Drosophila melanogaster: one gene and its partners. The protein of the gene in region 3 purifies or fractionates together with the protein of the main gene of each other region. This does not show direct contact. Each region holds a gene or a part of one and is shown on either strand. Other genes may lie near its edges.

The links. The genes of interacting proteins can lie anywhere in the genome.
Region 1: the proteins of Corp (region 3) and CG7675 purify together in Drosophila melanogaster (affinity purification with mass spectrometry, with the first as the bait; one large-scale study listed by BioGRID). This does not show direct contact.
Region 2: the proteins of Corp (region 3) and CG15717 purify together in Drosophila melanogaster (affinity purification with mass spectrometry, with the first as the bait; one large-scale study listed by BioGRID). This does not show direct contact.

Annotation. Positions count from the first base shown.
Region 1 is NT_033777.3:18,377,386-18,383,286, forward strand, and holds CG7675 (uncharacterized protein), read right to left. Parts: upstream 3,794-5,901; 5' UTR 3,647-3,793; intron 3,352-3,646; exon of another isoform or gene 3,234-3,351; intron 2,970-3,233; 5' UTR 2,969-2,969; coding exon 2,828-2,968; intron 1,980-2,827; coding exon 1,841-1,979; intron 1,583-1,840; coding exon 852-1,582; 3' UTR 739-851; downstream 1-738. Other genes in the region: CG14309 (uncharacterized protein), read right to left, coding at 4,564-5,901.
Region 2 is NC_004354.4:13,126,660-13,135,255, reverse strand, and holds CG15717 (uncharacterized protein), read right to left. Parts: upstream 6,239-8,596; 5' UTR 6,155-6,238; coding exon 6,068-6,154; intron 5,951-6,067; coding exon 5,279-5,950; 3' UTR 5,220-5,278; exon of another isoform or gene 4,966-5,219; intron 4,264-4,965; exon of another isoform or gene 4,078-4,263; 3' UTR 3,460-4,077; coding exon of another isoform or gene 3,285-3,459; intron 2,325-3,284; coding exon of another isoform or gene 820-2,324; 3' UTR 691-819; downstream 1-690. Other genes in the region: MFS10 (major facilitator superfamily transporter 10), read right to left, coding at 820-2,324, 3,285-3,459; CG32638 (uncharacterized protein), read left to right, coding at 6,958-7,005.
Region 3 is NC_004354.4:8,269,167-8,273,429, forward strand, and holds Corp (companion of reaper), read right to left. Parts: upstream 2,244-4,263; 5' UTR 2,097-2,243; coding exon 1,997-2,096; intron 1,701-1,996; coding exon 1,159-1,700; 3' UTR 732-1,158; downstream 1-731. Other genes in the region: CG1632 (uncharacterized protein), read left to right, coding at 1-690, 2,774-2,953; CG15343 (uncharacterized protein), read right to left, coding at 3,329-3,455, 3,527-4,041.

The sequences.
Region 1 (5,901 bases), on a different chromosome or scaffold from region 3:
TAGAATATATCAACTTTATGTTACATATTTTTACAATTTTACTCTACGAGTAACGGGTAAAATGTAACCAGTAGTTGCATAATTCTTTCTGAAATATATGTGTATTAGGAGAGGGATGAATGGACGCTCATTACTTTTAGTAAAATGTCTTATAGAGCAAATTGGTTTATATTTTTTTTTTAACATATCTCAATACCTAGAAGAACTTTTTTAAAGATCATTTGACTAAGAAGCTGCAGCTACAAAATAAATAACGAGAAGCAATAAGTTGAAAAGTTCAAAACTTGTCAGAATTGTCATATCTAGTTACCTAGCAAAAGATTTATCGAGTGACTGTCAATATATATTACATGTAATACAAAAACGGTCCCCTTGCAAATCCAAGCCGAAATCCTGTGCCAATAAGAAGTCGAGTTCCCCGACTAACAGATACCCGTTGCTCAGTTAGTGTGAATGCGCTGTGTCTATGTATCTAGAATCTGTATGCTGCATCACAACCTTCTAGCTTTTAAAGTTCCTGAGATCTCGACATTCAGACGGACAGAGGAACATGGCCAGATCGACTCGGCTATTGATCTTGATCCAGACTATATTCTAGTCTTGATTCTAGTATACCCTTTTACTCACGAGCAACCGATATAACAACCAAGATCTTTGTAATATATTATATATAGTCAGAAATTTGATGTGCTTTTTTTTCTGACAGCAAATATATCATATTGAAAACGAGCCACATTTAATTATACAAAATCATTTTTATTGAGAAAACTTAGGCTACAGTAAACTCCCCCTTAAAAACAAGAAAAGTAAATCAGTAAATTGTGCGTTGGCTCTCAGCCGCAGACACCCGTCTAGATTTTGGGATCCTGGGGCGTAAGCTTGACAATCTTCACGGACTCCTCCCAGATCTTGAGACCCTTCTCCTCATCGAGGGCAGCAGCATTAAGGGTGGCCTCCTTGCAGTCCATGAAGTACTTTCCAGACACATTGGCCACCTCATTGGATGTGGCCAAATAGATAGTGGTCTGGGCGCCGGCCTTGGTGGTCTTGAAGAATCCCTTGGTGATGGCCATCATGGGCAAGTTGAGGGGGAAGGGAACGTTACGCCAAATGCCCGAGTCGATCATGCCGGGATGCAGGAAATTCACTGTAACCTTGGTGCCCTCCAGCCGCTTGGCCAGCTCCCGGGCAAAGTAGATGTTCGCAAACTTGGACACATAGTATAAGTAGGCAGCCGGGAAAGTGCCGATGGGATTGAGCTTGGCCAGGTTAACCGACGACAGGCGGTACAGCTCCGAGGCTACGATGACTATGCGAGCCGGCGCGCTCTTCTTTAGTACATCGATGAGCAGATGCGTCAGCAGGAAGGGTCCATAGTGATTGGTGGCCATGGTCAGCTCCACGCCATCCTCACTCGTCTGTCCGCGGAAGGCCAGAGCCATGCCGGCATTGTGGATAAGCACATCGATCTTGGGCTCGGTCTTCACAATGTCAGCGGCGAACTCACGGACGGACTTCTGGGAGCCCAGATCCAGTTTCTTGACTAGGATCTTGTTGTTCTTCGTCTCCTTGACGATCTCATCTGTGGGAAATCAACAATAAATTACAAAATTCGGTTATGTAAAAAAAAACATGGTTAATGCAACGCCAACATATTATAAGATACTTTCTTTAAAGTAATTACAACGTAAATATTTAATAAAAAAAGATCATTGGTAGTAAGCAGTTTTTGCCAGAGTCTATAATCAACTGGATGAGACCAGTTATCGGAATTTGACCGTGTTGCATGTCCTGCCAGATCCTTGGCATAACCTCATAGGCATTGTCTTGGTCCACTTACCCTTCACTGCATTGGCAGTCTCCAGGTTCCTGCAGGCCATGATGATGCGGGCTCCACGTCCAGCCAGATCCTTGGCCGTCTCCTTGCCAATTCCGCTGTTGGCGCCTGTGATAATGACTGTCTTGCCCTCCATCTTTGTCTGTAATCAATGTCGAAGGTTAATCATTTAATACGGCGCTGCAATCGAAAATTGGACGAGGGCGGTTCGAAAATATGTTTACAATACTAATTAGTTGGCGCTTGTTCACAGTCACAGTAATCGCAGTTCGTCTGGAACGGAAGCTATCTTAGTTTTCAGACCCATTAACGGGTCGCTTAATTGCCATTCGAGTGCTGAGAGCTTTCTGTGAATCAGAGGTAAGCGATCTCACAGATTGTAACCGAGATACCCAGAAGCTTAGATGTTTTGTGGGATACGAACAATGTTCGGTCAGGTGGTAATCGTAGCTCAGAGATGTGACGTACCTCGCCTCTCAGAAGGTATCTAATTTAATCTGTAATTAAGTCGACGCGTCACAACTGACCAATGTAATAACAAGATTGAAACACGTTAAGTTTTCCTAGTGGTGATTTCATATATAGTTAAAAGATTTCCATAGTCGGAATGCTTGGAATGCTACAGAATCGTTTTAATTATATGGGGTTTTTCCAGATAGTGATATATGTAGTTTTCTATAGAGCGGTAAGCTGAACCATTTTCAATTATGGATCTGTAATGTTTATCTGAATAGTTCGCATTTATATGAATATATAAAATTTGTAAAAGTTTTGAGCGATTAATAAGCTTAAGGTCGTGTCCGAATACTGTTTTAGTAAACTATCCCACCATCATTTGTATGTATATGACAGCTCATCTACAAGATCTGAAAAGAATTCGCAGCGGAAGTGGGAGCAACAGCCATATAAAGTGCGAAATATTCGAGTCGTGTCGCGATTCTGGGGAGCATGGGACTTGGTTTTTTGGATTGGGTGAGGTGCGTTCGTTACCTCGGTGAAACATCGTCCCGCCGTGATGCGCAGATAGAACCGAATGCTCATCAGGGTGGCCACTATGGCGGCCACTGAAGTCATGAGGAAGATGTCGCGCACATAGTGCTCGGTCGACAGCCAACCGAAGATGAAACCCATCCTACAAATATGCCGAGGTGTGTATACTATATATTGTATCTTCATATACGTATATATCGGTGTCAACATGCAAATCAGATTATATAATAACCGAAGCTGCCAAAGCCAGACGATTGTCTTAGGGCATAACGAAACGAGTTTGGTTTTGGGTTTTGGGGTTTCATGGTTTTGGGGATATTGGTTAGTCGGCGAAGGTTTTCACAATTCAAATCGTTTATCAGTGACTGTCAATAAATCAATTTCGAAAACTGTTGAGAAAACTTACACTTTCACTTTCACACATGTGCGTAATTATGGCTTATTATGATGAAACGCCGAAAAAAATAACATTCAACCAAGTTCATTGACAGCCCAAACGAAAGAAGGTTGAACAAGAAAGAAAGTCTGAAGTTTCATGTCGTTTTGAGTTTCTGGTTTTTTCTTCTCTGTTTGTTTTTTTTTTCCCCCACCGTCCACGTCACAAAGATTTCCAAGAGCTTTCCTCAAGACTCGAAGACTGGCTCTGGTTACGCTTGCATGCACCATTTAAGAACCCCCCCAACCGAACCACGCCCTACAATGCAGTCTCGAAAAGAAACAAGATCTATAGATGTATGAAAAAGTCTAGAAGTGACCCGTTTTTGGGTTTTGTTCCTCAACTTTTGCCAGTCGGAGACGAGTTTTTTAGTGCAAACTCACCTGTTTTGGCTGTTGGCTGATCTATAATTTATTCCAACTTCTGCTGACCTGCACTTTGGACTATATCTGCGCTGCGAAATGGAATTGGTGGATCCAAGAGCTAGTGCCACAACCTTCGCCTTGAACGACTAATCGGAGACTGAAGTCGGAATTCCGATTATAAAGCCGAGGCTGCGGAGAATGCGCGATCGTCTCCACCGGTTTGGTATTGCCGTGGTCGCGGTGATTTTGTTATTGCACTTATAGCCATGGTAACAGGTTAGCCAAGCGGCTTTCCGGGCTCCTCTTTGGGATCGTCTTCATGAACGGTTCACTCGCAGCGAAAGAGCGAGCACAGAGTGGAGCCAAACTATAATACATAGTTACCAGCGGTAAGAGAAAGATCTGGGTAGTGGATTCCAAGAAAGTGTGTCTAGAAAGCCACCTGTCGGGGGCTTCGCAAAGCTTCTTTTCTAGTTATGCAGCTCGAATGATGAGCTTGAAATAATGTAGAAAATAATAATGGATAGTAATTAACTTTTTTAATGACCAAGACTTTATTACTATTTGAAGTACTACGGGTAATTGTATAAACATGTCAGATAAAAATCTATTTTATTTTTCATTTCATATATCATTAACCGAGATACCACTGAAATATATCAACATTCTTTTCAATTCAATGCATTTTATTATAGAGATGACATATTCACAAGTACAATAAAGAATGCTCAACAATCTACCACAAGCTTAGTCTAAGCCCGTCTAGTTCGTTGCCTTAGTCCTGTATATAGCTTTATTTGAAAAATATAATTCCCTTAGAATTATCGCTCAAATATAATTCCTTTGAATGCAGTAATGTTTGAAAATAAATATATATTTACATTCGGTTATAATGCTGGCAGTTTAAACAAGGTCATATGGTAATATAAGTCATTCTACTTCTCAATGCTGTTTTGTCGGCGGGGTGGTTGGGTTTCCGCATCCGTTTCCAAGTGCTTGGTTAAGGTGTTGTACCATTCGTTCATATGGTTGGATATGATGTTGATGAAGCGAGATACCTTTGATTTCATAGTGCTCACGAGGCTTTCGGAGAGTTTAGTCAGACTACGACCAGAGGCCAGCGAATTCTTGCTGCTGATCCTCATGATCTTGGATTCCTTTTCCTCCCTGGGCTGGCTGGCATCCTTCTCTGCCTCGTGATCCATCTTGTACTCGTAGTAGGTGTACCTTCCCAGCGGCATCATCTCATCGCGATCTGCCTTGTCTATGGCATTGGAGGGCAGTTCAGCCAGGGAATTAGTGTTAAGTACGGCACGCCGCCTTCTCATAGCTGGTAAATCCCACCAGGAAGTGATACCCTCATCGGCTGGCTTTTGAGGCAATTTCGAATGAAGAGTAGGCGTTGCCTTCTTTCCCTCAAAATGATCCTGTATGAGGGACTTCCTACCGACATTCGCCGACTCCAGGGAACTTTCCCGCATGCCCTCATCTCCTAGAGAAAACTCGTGTTCATGCTCGTTGATGTGGCTGAGGAAATGCTTTCCAAGCTCTTTTTGGGCCTGCAAAAAGTCGTTGGCCACGTGACCTAGCCTGGAGTGACGCCTTCTAGCACTTGGCACCGGTTGCACATCCTCCTCGGGCTCGGACTCTTCAACAGACTTGGGTTTTTGGGACAGACTAGCCTTGGCCATGGTGGCCTTGCTGGAGAAGGGTTCCGGAAATAGCAGTGAGTTCAAGGTGGCTCCCAGATTTAATCGCTTGTTCTGCTTGGGAGCTGGTAGGGCCTCAAAGAATTCCGTGGGCAGTAGACGCAACTTGGGACGCCCTTCTGTTTGCTCCGGTTCCTGCTCCTGTTCATCCTCTTTGTCCTCCCTTTGAATGATCTTTAGCTGACTCTTGGACTTGGTCCTGCGCTTTTTGGGTACCTCCCGCTCAAGTTCCTCTTCGTTTTCCACCTCCCCATCCACAGTCTCAATGTGCTTCAGGTGGACATCACCCTCTGGAAGCCGTGTGTAAGTGGGTATTTCCTCGGATTTCTCTCCAATGCGCTTGAAGAACTTCTCCTCATCGAATTCATCGAAGTCGAAAAGGGGCTTATTCTTCTTTTCCGGCTTCCGGATCTCAGTAATCTTCTTCGTCAATGCTGTCTTCTTACCCTGGCGATTGTAGAAGAAGGGCCCGGAATAGCTGGATGTGTCGCGTCTCTCCCGCTTTTTGCCCATGTCACGGGTGTGCTCGAGCACTTGATACAGCCAGGCCAGAGCTTTATGAGG
Region 2 (8,596 bases), 4.9 Mb from region 3:
TTATCGAAGGTATTCTATTCGTATTTCTAAATCATAATATAAGAAACCTTTAAAATTAAGATTTAAAGCTGTAAAATGAAGAAGGTATTGTATTGCTTTAATCTTTCTTAATTATATATTATCGTTTCTACGCACAAACATTTTACTACCAAAGTATTACTCACTATTTTGAGATACTTTTTATACACCCCATTTATGTTTTAGGCATAATTTGACATGAACACTTCGCCCCTGAAATTATGCAACATTTTTACAGCCTTCAAAAACATGAAAAGCCTAAAAGTGTTTTAAAAATCCAAGACTCTAGTAGCTGCATAAAATAAATAACCCATCAAATCATAATTCTCCAATGAAGAGGTATTACTTAGTCGGATACACGAAAACCACCTGCCAGTTAAAGAATAAAATGCTTAAATCAGGTGCCACAGTTCGATATGTTTGTGCTGTTTATTTCGACAGATCTACGTGCCTTCGAGCGTGTATATGATAGATATATAAATATATATGTATATATATATATAGTTGGTATTGGTATAATTGTTTACAAAAAAAAGACGCCTAGCAAAACAAAAGTCCATATAAAAGGACGATACACGTATATAATACACTAAAACAGTTAACATCCTTTCGATTTTCCATTCCGATTTGGTAGCACTAGTTTCGTTCGTTTCGTTTTTTTTTTTTCTTTTTGGAAGCCACATTCTTGTCCTGCATCCGGAAAACTTCGAGCCCAAATACATATGTAGGATATATGTGTATATATCGGAATTATCACAAATGCTTATGATCTAGCTAAAATAGCGTATAGTTAGGCTTGCTTCAAGCGCGCTGGGATCGTGAGTTGCGTGTGGGTGGTGTCTTCGACCAGCTTTGCTCCTCGGCGCTGGCGAAGATCAGGTAGATGAAGTTACCGGCTATATTCAAGCCCGCCGCCAGCCAGAAGACCAGATGCCACTGTGTCAGAGTCTCGCGATGATTGATGATTAGACCGATGACATACGGAGCCAGGAAGCCACAGATATTTGCCGCCGAATTGGTGATGCCATACATGGTGCCTGCATATCGTGGACTGAGCGCTATGTGATTCATCTGGTTGCCAGCATAGACGGCGCCGCCGAAAGAGCCCACGCCGGCCAACATAAAGGTGACCCACACCCAATCGCAGCCCACATAGATGATGCCAATCAGGCCCAGTGATGGCACCACGGAGGCCACCGTGTTCCACAACTTATACGAGTTCAGCAGCGATATGTAGCGTCTGGCTAGCATCCAATCCGCCAGGGCGGAGCAGGCAATGCCCACGAACCAGGAGGTTAGATACGGCACCGCATTGAGCAGAGCATTCGACTGGATGTCAAAGTGTAGGATGTTGCTCATGTAGGTGGGCAGCTCGGTTAGCTGCGTGTAGAAGGCCCATCCCTGGCCGCATTGCGTCAACAAGATGGCCCACAGAGGTACGGATGTGAGCAGCGATGACCAGGGTATCGGTTCCTCCGGCGGCGCCCGCAGACTCACTTCATCCTGTCCCTCCTCTTCCTCGGCCTCCGCTAGATCCTGATTTATTAGCCTCTGAACCTGTAGACTCCTTTCGATATACTCTCGCTCCGATTCTGAGATCCTGGGATGATCGCTAGGCTTGTCGTACACCAAATACATCCATGCGATGAACCACAGAATGCCCAACAGTCCGAAGATGTAGAAAGCCGACGGCCAGCCACCCAGGAAGTCCAGCGAGCACAGCCATCCGGCCAGCGGCATGGAAATGACTGTTCCGATATTGGAGCCCGCATAGACGATTGCGGCGAACTTGTTCCTCTCCAGCGGCGGTATCCAGTGGGCAAGCATGGCGTGCATAGCTGGATAGGTGACGCCCTCGCCCATTCCCTCCAGGATGCGGACCAGGACCAACAGCGGCAGATCCCAGTGGGCAGCCAATGGAGTTATAAGCGTAAAGACCGCCGTGATCAACACTCCATAGCCGTAGATCTTCTTCCCACCATACAGCTCGGCCATCCGTCCGCCGGGCACTTGGGTTAGCACATAGCCATAGAAGAAACTGCCGAGCACCAATCCCTGCGTGGCCTCGTCCCACACAAACTCGCCCTCCTTCTGCGGATTGGGATCGCTACCATTGTGATGTGGTGCCGGTAGTGGACACGTGTCCGTATCAATCACCGATGAGTTGCTGTGCGGAATTGCCGTTTGGTTCACCATGGCCACAATGGCCACCGACAGATTGACCCGCATCGCGTAGACCACGGCGAATCCCAGGAAGCCCATGAATCCGAAAATGTGACGCGTCTTTGGGCCACAGCCATGGTTTTCTGCAGGGTGGAGAGAGGAGAGAGTGGATGGTTAGTAAGCTATGGTTTAGGAGGCGTAATAACGATATCAGTTCCGGTTTTACTTAAAAGTTCTCGCCGTTCTCGATAAGGCCCAATGTTACACTGAAAATCCCTAAATACCATTCAATGTGTTATCATTGCATAGTTTAAATTGCCTCAATTTCTTCACTTTTTTATTCCTTTAGAAATGTTTACATGAGATGCCATTGCCAGTGAATTTAATTTCTTTTCAGATACTTGTTCATAGGAATCGCTCAAGTATAAAATCTAAAATAAAAATATTACGATCTGATACCATCGAAAAAGTTATCGGCCCTCCGTTCCATTTGAAATGCAGATTTGTACTGTTCTATAAAGTTCAGAAAAACTTCGCTTCATATCAGTAAATGTAAACAAGTCGTAATTTCGGCCCTTGGCGAATAAATTATACATAGGCATAGGCTGTTAACTGGATAACTGGATAGTATTACGTGAAAATTAAAATTTATGCGTAATTATTAGGTTATTTTATATTATATGTATGTTATGTTATATGTATAAAAACATTTTAATTATTTTTATTAGTTATTGAAATCTATAAGCCATATAATATCTTACTTTAAGATTAAATGAGAATTATTATAAATTGAAAGATACAATTTTAGAGTGTCTTGGATATACGTAAAATGAAATTTGTTTACAACAAAAAGTATCTTTGCGTTGAGTACTGTTTTTTTTTACACAGATATTCCGAGAGTTTATGTTTAATAAAAGTACTGACCCAGGACATATGTATGTACAATACATAAATGCAAATCAATATGAAGCAGAAATAGCACTAAAGATTTAAATAAATAAAGGTATCTTGAGCTTGTAATACGCATATCTACGTTGCTCCACCTACATATGCTATAGCTAGGTAAATATCTTTCCCCATCTGTGTATCTTGTAGCTACTCACCCTCCGCAGCGCCGCTGGAGCGGATTAGCGGTCGTTCGCCGGAGCAAAACGCCTCCCGTTCGTCGTCCGCTTCGTCGTCGGAGCGCTCCGCCGAGGCGGATGAATTGGAGGAGGTGGATGGATCGTAGTAACAGGAGGCGTCCCGCGACTCGTCCGTCCATTTGTGCGGTGGCATCGTGGCGCTCTATTTGGTTTCGTGGATTCCGATTGGAGATGTTGGTGCTTGGCGGTCTGTGCTTTTCGAGCGTCTTTTGAGCGTTTGGAACTGCAACTGCCAACGCATTTTCTCTGCCGGAGCGGCAGCTGTAGTGTAGTTATTGTATTTGTATCGCCAGCGGTGGCGGAAGCGGTTTGCTTGTCCACCAAAATCAAGAGCCGTGTGAGCGGGAGCGGGAACGGGAGCGGCAACGCGAGCGGACACCTCACCACGCCAGCGGGAACCAGCGCAGACTGACGGACTGGCAAATGGCAACGGGCAACGGACAGCGCAACAACAAACCTAAGCAAAAGGCAGCGCCAGCAAACGTAGCTTCTAACCACAAGAGGGGTAACAGTGGCGTAGTTGTGGGGTGGCGAGCCAAAATCACAGAGGGGATTCCTCGAGTGAGAAGAGTAAATACTTTCTGGCGATAGAATGATGGCGTAGTTCTTTGGGAATTTCAGTCATTGTTTAGTTGCCCCTTTTGCTGCGCCACTGCGTTTGGAGTCACCACAGCTCGCTCCCTCTCTAATGGCTGGCTCTGTGGCGTTCTCGCTCTCTCCCGTGTGAAAGTGGAGCATGAATGGTGCGGCGCTACGTCACAGAAGGGGATGCAAGAACGAAAGAGAGTGGGTGAGAGAGAGAGCATTAGAGAGGGCCAAAGAGAAAGGGGGTGATGTGCGAGAAGAGAAGAGAGTGCAGTGTGAATTGTATTGTTGTGAACTAACTTAAGTATACTATCTTTGTTTAGTTACAGTTAGTTTACACACACACACAAACTATAAACGGCGATATGGTATATTTGCCAGCACTGAAAAATTACTATTTGTAAGAAAATAAAAACAATAAAACAAAACTAATTTCCAGATAGTCGAAATCAAAAAGGGAATTTGTACTAAAATCTTGAGAATAAAAACAACGAGGAGAGAAAGGCAAAGTATACTTTAGTTGCCAACACAAATACACGCACACTCAAACAACTCAGGCTAACACAATAGCTACGTTTAAGTAGCCAAGCTCTTTTAATGTATGTAAGTCAATTCAAGCAGGCTCTAGTTAGAGAACAAAAGAAATGAGCAAAAACCTAAATTCCACACATAGTATGTACATTTCTACATCTGGAAATTTTTCCATATTTGTTGTCCGTTTACAATGAAATAGATAAGATAAAGGGTTAAGTTGATCGATCGCTGCGTAGCTCGCACAAAACAAAATGTTCTTTTAAAAATTTTCATTGAAATCATTACCAGTTTATCAGTTAAATGGTTCATTTACTTCATAGTATGTTAAGTTTACTAAAATGAGCGCTATTATTTTGGCCCCAAGTGTATGAGTGTGCCCTTCAACTGCTTCCATTTAAACTGCTTTGCAGGATTTCTATTTCTGGAGCAGCACTTGCGCATGTCCTGAAAAAATGCCTGTTGCATGCAGAGATTCGTGGACCTACCCCAAATTCCCACAGATGCATAAAAGTTGGCTGATGATTTTTCAGTGGACAATTATTGACAGAGTATCAAAAAAACAATTCAGACTCAAGGACCTTTTCGCAATACAATTGGAATATTATGATGGTTGCAAAATCAGATAATTTCTAAGTTAAGCCACATTAAATGCTAGTTGTTTGACATAACTCCTAATTTAGTTCGATATAATTCCAATTGAACTGTCGAAAAGGATGCCCCAAGCTACATGTAAAATGCTTAGAGAGGTATTTTAAAGTATGGCTTAAAAAGCACCTGGATGTAATTCCTTCCGGATGTGATTCGTCGCCGTCGAAGTCCAGAACTGTCACTCTTCAGTTGCCGAAGATGGTGCCCACGGGAAAGACGACGATCCTCCGTTTGCCGCTCACCACCAGCGATTCATAGTGATAGTTCTTGGCCAGCAGAACATCGTTGCGGTCGGCAGCAAAGGATTCCCAGATGGGATCCAAGTCCGGATTGAAGCAATTAATGGCCACAATATCGCTCGGTAGTCGTGGTATCAGTTCGTAGGCGCAGCCCAGCTTCTCATTCCACAGACTAACTTGGCCGTAAGGTAGGGGATCCCTTTTGGCCAACTGGCCGGCCTCCTTGGCTGTGCGGAATGTGTGCACCGTCACCACTCCCGTCGCTCCATTGCCCAGATAGCTGTGCACGCAGTCGTACACCAAGACGGGTGATTCCCCAGCCTTAAGGCTTTCGCCTTGTACTGTCTTGGCCTTCAGCTCTTCGATCTTGGCCAGCGTGCTGGTGTAGCTCGGATGCTTGGACACCTCCTGCGACAACGGACGCAAATCCTGCGCCACTAGGCCCACAAACTGATCGGCAATGCTCTCCTGGAGTAGCAACGTGGCCACCGATCCCTCGGCAAAGGGATTCTGCAGGGACTGGAGCAACTGGTGGCGCGCTGAGTGCAGATCACCGTCCTCGAAGACGACCATCAGCTGGGGGGAGCGCCACTGGGGTGCACTGGGAATCAGCGCCAACTGCAAGTAGATACATTTTTGAATTTAACATATGTATGTAGGTGCTCCGATAATCTCACTGAGACACAATCCGTGTGCCAAGGAGATCAAGGTTATGTCCGATATTGTCTGACTGACCTTCGTTTCCTGCGCCGTCGGCTGCAGCTGGTTGACCATGTAGCTGGTGATCCTGGACGGCTGGGACTGGGTGAAGTTGCTGGCCATGCTCTGCGAATTGAAAACTTGAATTCAATGGAATCGCCCGATCAGCTGCGTTATCAGCGGCTCACGCAAACATACACACACGCACATAAACAGACACACACGCACACACACATTCACATGCAGAGAAGGAAGATCGCTGATAAACTAAAATACCAGTTATTGGTATTATTCAGTATTTAACACGGCCTGTCGCATTTTATAGCTACGGTCACACCGAAATAATAACTGGCATGTATAAGCGGAACAGCGACCGGTCACATTGGCCCACACATCACAATTTTAATTTAAATTGCAATTGGTCGTGTTGCTGCGCTGACGCCTTCCAGCGTATAAAAGAAAATAACACTTTTGCCCCCGGCTAGCTAATAGTTGTTGACATCACTCGTTATTCGCCGTTCATTGTTGACGCCCCCGTGCAAAGGCAGCAACAACAACAGCGATTGCCAAATATTGCAGCAGCAACAACAAGAACATTTGGAGAACGAAAGAAGACCAACAAGTGCGCGCACACACACACACACGCACAGACGCACACAGATACACTCATACAGTGAAGCTATTGCGCTTTTAGCACCAATTGAAAGTGAATTGCAAGTGAAAATAGACGCAAAGTGGAACGATTTCAGCAAATTGTTGCACACGAAAATAACAAAACAGCTGTGCGACTCATTTTTTTTTGTGTTTTATTGTTGTTGTTGTCTGCGCCGCGTGTGGCAGCAGCAGGAGTGGGAGTGAGAGAGCGGTAGCCGCTGCAATAACTGCATTTGAGTGCGAGCGAGAAGGAGCAGGAGAGCGACATCATCATGACCGACCTCAACGAGCTGATGGGATCCCCTTTTGTGCGTGTGAAGGTAAGCAAGCAGTGCATGCGATGCGGGAGACGAGATGCCGCTATTGCACTGCACTGGCCAGCAAGCAGTGCACTGCACTCACCCCCCTCATCTTATCCAACAAACAATTGCAGCCATAAAAATAGCAATGGGCGACTAGGAAAACTCATAACTCATGACAAAAAAAAAAAAACAAAGAAACAGATAAAAATTCTGAATAAATGAAAAAGTCTCATTTAAATTAGGGGAAAGAATAAACAGGGTAAATAGATAACATATGGTACAGCTGCGGTCAAAATATTAACAGCAGGGCGGTTCAACTGGCTGGGTGGCACACATAAACAGAAGAAACAGATAAAGAATTTTACGGAAGCGGTCAAAAAATTAAACTGGGCGTATGAAACATACGTGTTTGTTTTTTAAGGAATAAAAGCCATGAAAAGTAGATAAAAACTTTTTTTGGAAATTTACTTACATGTGTTTGGATGCTTATTTTGCATTCAAAGTGGATATAGCTACATATACATACATATATCGGCAAATATAAATTACTTGTTGTAGAACGAAAATAAGTAAATTAATGCCATCGTTATATGTATAAGTAAAAAATACACATAAATGACATTGTATGTACAGCTGGACTAATGCAACTTGTGTGGGCGAAATAAAACTGCTTGAGCGAAATTTACAGCTTACGGGAAAACCTTATAAACTAATTACATCGTTTCACTAAAAACATTTTCCAATTGTGCAGTTTTCTGTCCAAGAATAAATATTGTTATTTCTATCATAATACAATCCGTTTTTTTTACCATAACATTATAAATAATGGTCCAAATATAAAATGAGATGCCTCGTTGTGTTCGTTATTAAATACCAAATCGAACTGTATTCAAAAATTTCCTTAATTCTTCGATGAAAATGATAGGGAACGTTAGCCTTGGTAATTTGCTGCTCAAAACAGTTATTTTTTCATCTATATAACAATTTTTAGCGTATTTATGACAAAAATTCCATTTGTAAATATTACGTTTTTGGCAAAAGCTGTTTTTCCGAATTTATGTGATCAAAAAATCCGTTTTTTTGCCACAACTTTCAAATTAATTGCCTGAATATGAAATGTCATACCTCAATGAGCTCGTAATTAAATTTCCAATTAAACTGTGTCCAAATATAAGAATTCTATTTTTTCGCCATTTTTTGCAAATTTTGATGATGTTACCCCTTACAAAAAAATGCGAAAATTGACCCAAAAATTAATTTTTCTAAATCCTTCAAAAAATGATTGGCGTCGTTAGTATTGGTAAATAGCTGCTCAAAAAGGTAATTCTTTTATCTATATGACAAATTTTAGAGAAGTTATGACGAAAAGTTCCGTTTGTAAAATCACTTTTTTGGCAAAACCCGTTTTTTTCGAATTTCGGTCAATAAATAATCCGTTTTTTTTACCACAACTTTTAAAATAATTGTCTGAATATGGAATGTTATACCTCGTTGAGCTCGTAATTTAATTTCCAATCCAACTTTGTTCAAAAATAAGGATTCTATTTTTTCGCGATTTTTTTGCAAATTTTGATGATGTTACCCCTTACAAAAAATGCAAAAAATTGAC
Region 3 (4,263 bases):
ACGCAGAGGCGCCGCATCATTGGCATGATCAAGAGCCCGGTAGAAGGTTCGACGGCGGCACTGGTGCGCCTGGAGACCCCGGTCAGTTACTCGGATCATGTGCGACCCATTTGCCTGCCGGACGCCCTGCAGAGACGCCTGCTCCAGCAGCCACCGGCCCAGAGGAGATCTCATGTTCCGGTGGCCGAGCGATTGGAGGGTCAACTTGTGAGCCAACAGCGAAGTCGATTATCGCAGGAGAACCAGCAGTTCTTCCTGATACCATCACAGGAGCAGCAGGACAGCTCCACGGAGAACCAGGGGGATGAGGATCAGGACGAGCAGGAGGATCACTTTGGTGGCGAATCAGCCGCCTCCTATATGCCCAAAGCGGAGGCTTTGCACCAAGAATTGGATGGCTACCCACTGCCGGATCATGCGCCGCAGGTGAATTACTACTCCTCCTCCTCCACGGTCACATCGTCCTCCACCGCCGCCCGCATAGCCACCAAGGCTCCCATTTTGGCGGCTGTTCCGGCTGCCCAGGAGCAAATCTGGACCAATTGCAATACACTCGGTTGGTCCCGGCAGCGGGATCACCTGCAGCGTGTCCAGCTAAAGATGGGTGACATGGCGCCCTGCGAGAATGTGTCCATTGCGACCGTCAACTCCATGTGCATGGAGGCCACCTACCAGAAGTACGACTGCACGGTGAGTAGCCAAAAGATTGGGAAAGGCATAGTGTATTTTCTAAAATATTACTTAGCTTTATTAAACTGATTCACTTCATTGAGAGTAGGAGGGGATACAAATTAATTGTTCAGTTAGTTATTTATAATCAACGTAATGAAAAGTAATTTGTATAAAAAAGAGGATTGAATTTTATATTTATAACTAGTTTATTTGAAAAAAAAGTTTATTACGGCGATTAATTAAATCTCAAATCATAATAGGCCAGAAGATTGCTTAGGATCTAAAGTATGTTTCATTCACATAGCTTAAAATTATTAACAAAAATGGTTATTTTTTACATAATATAACATTTGGTTTGGACGTTTGTTTGGTGCGATTACTGCAGTGTAAGTCTTAGGAACAATGGTTCAACCTTTTAGCTTATGAATACATCTAATTGGAGTATCGTATACGTAGTAGAGCTATGTACAATCCATGATTGGCGACCTAGATGCGAATCGAGCGCATGACAGGAACGGGAGACGGACCAACCGACGTGGACGCTGTGCGTCTTGGCTTCGAACAGACGTCCACGCGCTGGCGCTTCTTGGGCGGCTCCTTTTGGTCATCGTCCTCCTGCAGCCGAGGTATGGAAATCTCATCCAGCTGCTGCTGCGACTGTTCCCTAAGGAAACAGTTCTGACGATGCACAGGAATGGCGCCGGCAGTGGGCAGCGATCCCAGGAAGCAATTCATCCGGTAGACCGGCACCGGCTTGTACTCCGGCACCGGATCTTCCTTTTCTTGGTCCTCCTCCTTCTGACCCTCGGCTTGCTCCAAATCCACTAGACGCTTTCGCTTAAGGGACTCGGTCTGGCCCAGACTGCGGCGCATCTTTGACCAGTCAAATCTCAGGTGAAAGGTGATCTCCGGGCAGGGGAACAAAAGCAGGAAATACTCCAGCAAATGCGCCTCAAACACGTAGTCCTTGCCGTTGGTCAGGATGAGGGCTTTCCTTTGTGTCTCCGGAATGGCGAAGCGGGTCATGGCTGGAAAAAAATTCAGTCAATTAATATTAGAATAATGTAATAGATTCCGATTCTTTACAATTTACTTTCAATTTATTGTCTTCCAAATTTTAAACTTTTTATTTTCATGAAAGGTTTATTTAACAAATATTTTTTTGATATTTAGTTAGGAAAAGAAAACGCTGTGAATGGGATTCAATACTTTTCAGTGTTCTTAAAGCAAAGGCACGCAAATTTAGTTGTTGAATTAAATTTTAAATTGGCTTGGAAGACGACGCCACTGTATTTCACTCTTCCATTCAAATTTCGTGACTCACCTTGGGAGATGACCTCTTCGTAAGTGTTCGAGGATCCGCAAGTGATGAGGTTGGTCTCGCCCTGGAAGAGAACCTTCAAGCTGCTCCTGATATCGGCCATCCTTTGGTTTTCTTTTCGTATATAGTAGTAAAATTGATAACGATCTTCACACTGGTAATCCTTCTTCAACTCTCTCTATTATTTTGCACTGTTTTTCTCGCAGCGATGCGTTCGCTTGGAATGTTGCCGATCGAATGAATGCAAGCCAACAGTTGGCACTCTGTTTTATGTGTTTTTTTTTGTTATTGCGGTGTCCCTTGCTTCTTCTTGCTATCTCCCTTTTTCCTTTTATCTGCCTGCAGCTGCACTCATAGTTGTTGTTTCTGCTATCCTAGGTAAACCTTCGCAGGTAACGGGGGTTGCTTATGTGTGTTCGCTCGTGCTCACATTGAATGGCAATTGGAGAGAGTAAAAAAGAGAAGCAAAAATTACTCATTCAACTTTGTTATTGCTTCGACTGCTTGTTTTTGTTGCTCTACGCCAAGCGCGTTGCTGCATGTCGCGTGCGTGTGACGTCACGATCGCCAATTGGGGTGGCACGAGTTTAATTCAATGGTGAAATATTGAAAAAACAGAGTGGATCCTATTATAATATTACAAAATTATTTTTAAAATATTTAATTTGAAAGTGGACAGAAACTGTTGGCAACCAAAATTTAAACTATATATCATTTTTTAGAGTGGACCAAAATTATATTTTATTATTATATTTTGAATTTCATATTGTTCATTTTCAGCAAGAGGAGTATTCGGGAGCGCCTGTCCAGTGCCTGATTCCCGGAACGAATCAGTGGGCGCTCATTGGGGTCTCCTCCTGGCGGATCGCGTGCGGACCCACGGGCGTGGAGCGGCCCAGGATGTACGACAAGATCGCCTCGAATGCCGCCTGGATCCGCGAGACGATCAGCGCGATATAGTCGGGATAGTTCACCAGGGGGCGGCGGCACGCCCCTCAGCGCATTTGTGTAGAAAACGGAACCGAAACTCACTGGGTATTATGTGTGTGTGTAGCAAAGCAAGTAAGGCAATTAAGCATATGTACTATGTAACTAACCTGCTCTAATGTTACTCGAACCTATGTAACTCTATGCTAACTGTATTCTTTAAACGTCCTTTTTTTTGCTGTTTTGTGTAATATTTATTAACTATGTTGTAATTGTATGTTAAACATGTCGAAAAGGAAGCAAATTTAGTTGTTAGTCTGTACGTTTAGCTGTTTGTAGAAAGATATTGTTGAATAAAATGAAATCGTCCAAAATCAAGATAATGGCTTTACTGGGGGTATACCACAATTAGGTGGACACGTGCATGGATTTCCATTTCCCATCCTTCTGAAGGCGGTACTGCACCCGGTCTGCGATTTGGTCGAGACCCACCTTCAGGAAGTCCCAACGCTGCGGTTGGAATTTCCAAGCGGTACTAGAAGAAGTTGTAATTATGTATATGTTAATTTACTAAATATAGATATACATATAAACTTCGAAACTCACTAGCTTGCTGGTCTCTCGATGGATTTTCCTCTGTGATCCAGAAGGAACTGATCGTGCTTTGCCTTGAGATCATCGTAGTTAATCGGTTCTCCACAGGGACAGATGTGACCCCTGATTTGGGCAGCCAAATTCTCCTTCGCCCACAAAGCATCCATTTCGCTTTGGTCAAGTTCCACGGCGGTGGCTCCAATCAATCTCACCTGCCAGGCATTCTGATTTCCGGCCTTATCCTTAACATCTGGCATATAGAAGGTGATGCAGGCCTTGGGATTGGCCTGAAGGTTCTTGAAGTTGCGAACGTACCGATGGGTGATGTAGAACACACAGTTATCCTGGGTGAGTCCGCGGTACAGAACAGTGCGGTTGAGCACACCGAATTCCTCGTCCACGGTGGCCAGGTTCATTTCCTGTATGAATCCATCGGGATGTCCCTTGGCAGCTTCCTGAAGGATCTCCTTAAAAAATTCAACGGGATCGGAGGGAAAGTCCTCGATTTTGGCCAAAGAGGAGGTCATATTGGTGGGTCCTTGAAGCGAAAAATATTCTTATACATTTTGAAAATGTAATACACATTTAATGTTAATTGGTAAAGCCCCTTATAACTGAAGTAATGTACTGTCATTCAAATTTGGCGCACTTTGCGCGCTGTTAACGCTAACAGCACTGTAACAGAAGCGCAGTACTTTGCAGCGGTTCTATAATCGATAGCCGTTGATTTCACGTTATATTTGCGAAGC